Linked DNA regions of Bombyx mori. The protein of the gene in region 1 interacts with the protein of each later gene in a pairwise test. Links are inferred from orthologs where the notes say so. Each region holds a gene or a part of one and is shown on either strand. Other genes may lie near its edges.

Region 1 (3,377 bases):
GAATGATGGATTAGTAAAAAAATAATTACATTTCAACTAATTAGTCACTTGATAGATTTTTATTGCCCTGCCCAAATACCTATGCTTAAAAGATGAGACGGACACAAACAGAAATCCACTCCGTACTGAGCCTCAAGTAATTAAGTTGATAACTTTCATTTACGGACACTTTACTCATTTGGGTTTATGCCTAAAATTAAATATTTATAAATATTTTACTGGTGATAGGACGTCTTATGAGTCCGCACGGGTAGGTACCACCACCCTGCCTATTTCTGCCGTGAAGCAGTAATGCGTTACGGTTCGAAGGGCGGGACAGCCGTTGTACTGTAAAAATTTAGATAGAACTCGTATCTCAAGGTAGGTGGCGGTATTTACATATCTATGGTTTCTGGTCACCACTTAACACCAGGTGAACCGTGAGCTCGTCCAGACACCTAAACTATAAAAAATACTCATTACTGTCAGCAATTTTACCTGTAGTCGCATCAGCTTAGGTCAGCTTCGTCATTTCTGATGTCCTCGTGAGACATGTGAGACATAGAAGTTTAAATATAAATGTAGTTAACTCAAAATACATTCGGCCTTTTTGCATCTTGTTAAAAATTATGTTGACTAATAATAGTATCGTTGTGGTATTACTGTATTGAATGTTGTTTCTCAGGCACTCGCAGTATTACCAGATTCGGTGCCGCTTAGCCGATTGAAACACTTTCTGGAAAGCTCATTAGAGGCTCAACTCACGTTGAAACGGAGAATGCAAATACTCAAAGGACTGTTGTATGCGGAACATATGCAGGTAATGCCTAATGCCTATTTCATCTTTAACTATACAAAAGAGAAGCTTCCGTGGTCTACACGGCGAGGCGTCCCGTGACGTAATTATGTACATAATACTGTAATCATCAATAGTATAGGTTGCAAATGGGTACGGCTCTGTACATAGGAATTGTTATTATAATTGAAATGCTCCACTTTGCAGTGTCTCTGTATTTTGGTAAATGTTCGAAGTTCTTAATGTACTCTATCGAGCAATGCGACCATGCCGGTGATCCAATCCCGCAGGCAACATTTCGGCCGCGAACCAATTATGCGTTTCGGTCCGATAGGCGGAATAACTTATATCCAATACAATTGAAACTTCGGCCTCATTCATGAACAGTGAAAGGTTCACCTGTGCGGGTTATTGAAAAAAAAAAAAGAAGTATCCTGCGACTGGGTGATCTTCAACCCTGTGGTAATAATAACAAATTGTATGTTTTAGGTCCAAGAGCTGAAGCATTACCACGAATCAAAGAGTGTTGTTATAAACGACTACGACGTGTGTCAAGTTTGCAAGAAGCGCTTCGGTCATCAGAGCGCGTTCGTGCGTTATCCAAACGGTGACATTGTTCATTATTCGTGTAGAAGCGATAAATAGAATGTTACCGGCGTTTACCTAATGAATATGAAATGAATTTCAGAACTGCTCTTCGTTTATTGATAGACTCTTTTTTGTTTTTGTTTTTTTTTTTTTGCGAAGTCATTCGCGATCATTCAGCCTGCCTGAGAATTATTGGCCAGCCAAACTGCTGTCTACCGCATAGGAAATAATTTGAAAGAAAACTCATTAGCAGAGCCAAATGCCTGATAGCTCTGAATAGATCTGGCATTGGATGATCGCTATGGTTACCGGTGATGGTGGCGAACTTTGCTTCGGAGGCAAGCGATATGATGGTGAAAAATACAATATTATTTCCATCAATTCGTTAAAGCTCTACCAAAATTTAAAATGATGTTCAAAGCAAACAATATAATATAATTATTTGTTACGAAAATATTTATTTTTGATATGTCTCTACTGTGATAATATGATTGTTAACTTATTCCGCGAGTTGTAAGTAATTCGTGACAGAAATTACGTTCAGAATAAAATGTTCGTTAACTTAGGTTAAATTTAAAATGAAACATCTATCATTGAACTAAGAACAGTTTTGTAATATTGTCAACGTCGATATGGTATCTCGTTGGTGTAAAAATGTTTAAATACGCAACGAATTGTAACGAGAGTTGCTGCCTCTAATTTGATAAAAGAGAAAATCGACTATTTTCCTTCGTGATAATATATAAAGAGAATGCAATAATACATTTTATTTAATAATAATATATTGTGAATGAGTTTTTGTATAATATGGCTATGATTTAGAAATTTTATTCAGTTTTCTAGCATCCGTCAAACGCATTATGTACACTCATATATAGTGCGTTTCATATAAGAACGTGCAAGTCAATGACCTTGATCTGTCAAAGTTCGATAAAAAATTACGGACAGCAACAAAAAATTTTTTTTCTATATTTTAGTGAATTTTTTGCCTAATTATGAAGACTATTAATATGTTTGTTTTAATAAACCATACACTCTATATAATTTTCTTGATATGATGAGTACTGGTCGAGGTAAATTAAGCATGAATTTAGATTATATAAGAAAAAACACACCTATTTAAAAATCAAGGCTGCAACACTGTCGGGCTCTATTATCTGTCGATGGGCGACGATGATGATGATTACTGAAGCAGTGAGATGAGTGGAATCGGCAAACTCAAAGATTTGGATTAAAAAATAATATTTAAAAATTCCCACCTTTTTGACTGACTTTACTTATTTTTTTCGATTTGACAGCTGTCACAATATAGCGCAGGTCCATGCACATTCTTATTTGAAACGCATTATAAATAAATAGAATTATAGTTTTATTTAAAAGAAGTAAAATTATTTTCAATTTGATTATTCGATTGTATTATTTTGATAATTCCCGTGAATACACTTGAGTAATATTTTTTTGGCACAGACGGGCGAACGAGCTCATTTATATATTAATACGTGAAGCAAAAACTTTGTATCCCTTTTTAAGAAAATTGCGCGAACGGAGGAGTATGAAATTTTTCACACTTATAGAGAATATAGAGAAGAAGTGCACAACGCTAATATTTTTTTAAAATAATGCATAAAAGATAGATTAAATAAATAAAGAAAACATTACACACACTACATACCATGTATTTGACGCACACACGCATGCATACTATTTATTGTCAAACTTTTGTTCTTGACGTCTGTTGTCAAATTGAGAATAGAATATGGTTTGTCTTTGTTAATATTTCTTATAGTGTAGTCTTGGCGAAATTCGTGAATATAGAAGTATAAAATACAATCATAATAGTGTACAAACTTACAATTCCAATTAATTATAGTCGAATTTCGACTACTGCGGGACCTCTAGTTAGTATAAATACTGTCACTTTAAATGAAATCGCGTGACTGCTTCACGGTAGAAACGGGTAGGATAGTGGTACCGTTTTTTTATCGCAGTTAAGCGCCTCTAAAGAACTAGTGGG
Region 2 (4,592 bases), on another chromosome or scaffold:
GGGCCGTATGCTCGTCTGCCTACAAGGGCAATAAAAAAAATACACCCTGAAATAAAACAAATGTACACAAGGTTTACAGGTAGGTTCTAAAACAAAACATAACCTAAAAGACTGATCTATACAGTAAGCATTGTCTCCACAAATCTAGTGTTATCTTCATAACAGCAATATATTATGTATATTTTTTTTCTTAGATGGATGGACGAGCTCACAGTCTACCTTTTGTTAAGTGGTTACTGGAGCCCATAGACATCTACAACGTAAATGCGCCATCCACTTTGAGATATAAGTTCTAAGGTCTCAAGTATAGTTACAACGGCTGCCCCACCCTTCAAACCGAAACGCATTACTGCTTCACGGCAGTAATAGGCAGGGTGGTGGTACCTACCCGTGCGGACTCACAAGAGGTCCTACCAGCAGTAATTACGCAAATTATAATTTTGCGGGTTTGATTTTTATTACACGATGTTATTCCTTCACCGCGGAAGTCAATCGTGAACATTTGTTGAGTACGTATTTAATTAGAAATATGCAGTTTTTATGTACATCTCTCGTCAATTTCATATTAAGTAGAATCGATCGTCGTTCTCAAAGAAATATCTTGCATGTGTACTTTTTATACAATTTGACATTTACCTACATTACTTGCCTAGATAACAAATCAAAATTTCGCAATAAAAGAAGGGTTAATATTTTCTTGCTCCTAGCGGTTTTTAGATTAAATTGACGAGCTATTTATGTTTCATCGTAACATTTCGAACACGCTGATTGCAATATAATGCTCTTTATTCTTATCTTTTTTTCTATCTTTAAACACTACGAAGACTTCTTTCTTCTCCGTGGTCAAACAAAATAATTCACGAATATGAAACACATATTTAACAGATTCATTAATTTCGAAATCTTCAAGGTAAATTTACATTATATTGCATACAGTTTCCGAACACTTACATTCGGATCGCCGGTCTACCAAGCATTTCACCCGCTCAGTAATCTTTAGTAAAGAAATCTTTCCTCTGTTGTTATCGCCAAAAGTTCATGCCCCACCTGGTATTACTGGTAGCAGGCAATTTTTTTCTAAATTTCATGTATTTCAATGGAAATTTAGATAGATTAGTATAGTAAGATGTAATCAATGTAAAATATAAATAACTTCCAAAAATGATTGCGTGTGATTACTTGCTCACCCAGATTTTAGAAAACTTGGCAATCTGGAGCAAAATGTTTATGAACAGAAAAATATTGCAAAGGACTTAATCTTATACAATACGGACGTGAGCTCGATCACCTCTCTAGGAATAAAAACAAATAATTCAAAATAAAAAGTAAGCTACCTGTAATAAAAGTGTGGTTTTCTATTTAAAAGGATACTCATAGTTTTATCAATAATTCGCACTTACCCCCATTATCTATCTACATACTCTACCTGTCTACTTCAAGATATCTTTGACATTTATTTCCAGTTTTAAAACCATACAATCTTGCAAAAATGCAAAATTTCATCCATGACTGCCATCTACCGACGAATAGCTGTCATATGATAACTTTCTACCAGCCTGTATTGGAAGATTTCAAGTGTACTGTATTCATATATTTAAAATTGAAACTACCATGGTGTATTTAAAATAAATGTTGTTTCTCAGTTGTCTACTATCATTAAAAAAATGTAAGACTTCGTTTCCATATTGAAAATGTATGTTTCTCACAAATATTATGTGTAAGCTATGCTAAGCACACTTGTGCTGCTGTCATCTCAAATAAATTAAGTGTATGCTGCTGTCAATTTGAAATTGTCAAATGTCAAACGATAGCTGCGTTTGTCAAATCGGCGTTTTCGAAAATTTCGCTTGTCATTCATTCATCAAGACTTTATTGAAAACAGTTTTAAACAAAAAATGGCTCTACTCGATTTCTGCCGTTTAAATGAAAAAATTAACTTGAAACCCGTTGATTCTCTAGCATCATTCAATAATGACATTACCGGCTACAGTGAAAACTTTGTAAACAGCGCTCAGCTCGCTTCTCCCCCATTTGCGAATGTAAGTAATGTAATTAAATAGAAGAATAAAACATTTTATTTTATTTATAATAATTAAAATATATTACACCTTACAGCCTGCTGAAACCTTAGCACACTTCAACACAAAGGATGAGACTGGAAAGGAAATCAAAATTCAGTTTGACCACGGCACCACCACTCTTGGTTTCCGATACAAAGTGAGTTCATAATTTAATATGAAGTTCTTTCAAACTAAGTATTATTAATTTATATTGCAACCCATATATAAATATATATTATTTATAGAATACTCGTTAAATATAAACTTGCTAACAAAAATACTACCATTCTTTCATTTTATATCTTACTGATGTAAAAGATTATTTTTTCAGGGAGGAGTCTTATTAGCCGTCGACTCTCGAGCTACAGGTGGCCAATTTATTGGTTCTCAATCCATGAAGAAAATAGTAGAAATCAACGACTATTTGCTTGGTAAGCATTAAAGTTTCTAGAGCATAACTGTTTACTTAGACAAAAACAAAAATAATGGAGTTTTAGTTTTACCAAAATGAGATTCCAATGAAATAAAAAAATAGGTTTCTTTAATATCTTTTGCTATGAAAACATTTTTGATCGCTCATGAATTCAATGAAATTCTTGAAACAATTAATAATAAAATAATGTTTATCAGGTACTCTCGCTGGTGGTGCAGCAGACTGTGTCTACTGGGACAGAGTACTCGCAAAGCAATGCCGTCTCTATGAGCTTCGGAATAGGGAGCGTATTTCTGTAGCAGCAGCCAGTAAACTCATGGCTAACATGGTGTACAACTACAAAGGAATGGGCCTCAGCATGGGAATGATGTTAGCTGGTATTGACAAGAGAGTAAGTTGTTAATAAGACCACTAGTAGGTACTTACTACTGCCAAACTCTAAATTGATATTAAGAAAATGTTTTTTTGTCCCCAAGAATTGGAAAAAAATTGTCCACATTGATCTCTATTATGAACTTCTCACCACCAATTGTGTCTTGACTGTGTCAAACATATTCATCCTAAATAGTCCTGGCAATACATTGTATTGTTTTTTTTTAAATGTTGAGACAAGTGAACAAACTCATTGTGGGCCACGATGTTAAGTAGTTATTGAAGCCTATAAATGCCGCTAACTCATTTTGAGACATGAGGTTTAAATCTGTTTTATTAATGGCTGCTCCACTCTTCAAACTGAAATTAATTACTGCTCTACAGCAGAAATAGGTTCTGTGATAGTACCTACCCATACAGGCTCACAAGACAATACAATCTTTTATAATATGCTTTTTATGCAATTTAGACTTTCAGCTTTCGGTTTTTTCAATCCATAATTTAAAAAAAGCATACTTAAAACAAGTATTTTGTAGTTTCAAATTATATAAGCGAGTATTTTTGAAAATATGTTTATATGTTTTTGAAATAGAGTCTAATTGGGTCAAAAACTTTTGGCCGAGTTGTTAATTAAATTTATTGATCATTGATTGCTCATAGTATATATGAGTCGACTAGTATCAAAGCCGGCAATGTGACTTTTGGACAATTACTGGTAAATCAGAAAAACGAATTATTGACTTTGTATTCCATTGGCAGTCACAAAACTCTTCTGAACGACATCTTAGATAAATAACAGGTTAAGTATTAACCTTTATTTAATGCAGGTTTTGAACCGTATTCTTTGCAGGAGACGATTATATTCAAATCAATCTGTATTGACATATCAATAACATTTTTTTGTCCAAATGCACAGATTGCCACCTTTGATAATAGACGACTCATATAAGTATTTTTCATTTAATCCAGGGAGCACAACTATACTATGTAGACAGTGAAGGTACTCGCACTCCAGGCAAGGTGTTCTCAGTGGGCTCAGGTTCTGTGTATGCTTTTGGTGTACTTGACTCTGGATACAGCTGGGATCTGTCAGATGAGGACGCACAAGGTTTGTATTATTTTATTCATAACTAGCTGACCTCAATCGATAAATAAAAGACCTAAGCTTTTGTATAAAATAAACAAAAGGAATCGGTCTGATGGGGGACACATCAAAGGGAAAACGAAATTATTATTTTTATTTAATTCTGAGCATTTACATATTTATACACCTTTTAAACCTTCTCTGGACTTCCACAAATAATTTAAGGCCAAAATTAGCCAAATCGGTCCTGCCGTTTTCGAGTTTTAGCGAGACTAACAAACAACAACTCATTTTTACATATAGAGATATATATTTTTATGCTGAGACAGCTGTTATTTGATTTGTACCGTTCTGCAGCAAAAATATTTAGGGTGTTCTTACCATTCTAGTTTGTTAAGGACCTTAGGCTGCTGTTACCACTACATCTGTTATCCATAAGTTCCATCATTTATTAGAGCTGGGTCGACGTGCGATTTACCACGCTACTCACCGCGACGCGTACTCTGGCGGGATCATAAGAGTGTACCACATCAACGACAAGGGTTGGGTCAACATCTCCAACGAGGATTGCTCCGACCTCCACTACAAGTACCAAGCAGAGAAGGGCATCAAGGATGATCAGTTTTAAATTGTTTTTGTATAA

What was found.
Region 2: the proteins of vam6/Vps39-like protein (region 1) and proteasome subunit beta type-5 interact in a two-hybrid assay, tested with the Caenorhabditis elegans proteins (2 studies listed by BioGRID). The link is inferred for Bombyx mori from reciprocal best matches to the Caenorhabditis elegans genes vps-39 and pbs-5.

The regions. Positions count from the first base shown.
Region 1 is NC_085124.1:8,461,842-8,465,218, reverse strand, and holds the end of vam6/Vps39-like protein, read left to right. Parts: intron 1-664; coding exon 665-799; intron 800-1,264; coding exon 1,265-1,420; 3' UTR 1,421-2,769; downstream 2,770-3,377. UniProt on the Caenorhabditis elegans protein: Plays a role in vesicle-mediated protein trafficking to lysosomal compartments including the endocytic membrane transport and autophagic pathways.
Region 2 is NC_085126.1:4,546,389-4,550,980, reverse strand, and holds the start of proteasome subunit beta type-5, read left to right. Parts: upstream 1-1,648; 5' UTR 1,649-1,895; coding exon 1,896-2,039; intron 2,040-2,115; coding exon 2,116-2,217; intron 2,218-2,391; coding exon 2,392-2,491; intron 2,492-2,690; coding exon 2,691-2,884; intron 2,885-3,834; coding exon 3,835-3,973; intron 3,974-4,404; coding exon 4,405-4,577; 3' UTR 4,578-4,592. UniProt on the Caenorhabditis elegans protein: Component of the 20S core proteasome complex involved in the proteolytic degradation of most intracellular proteins. This complex plays numerous essential roles within the cell by associating with different regulatory particles.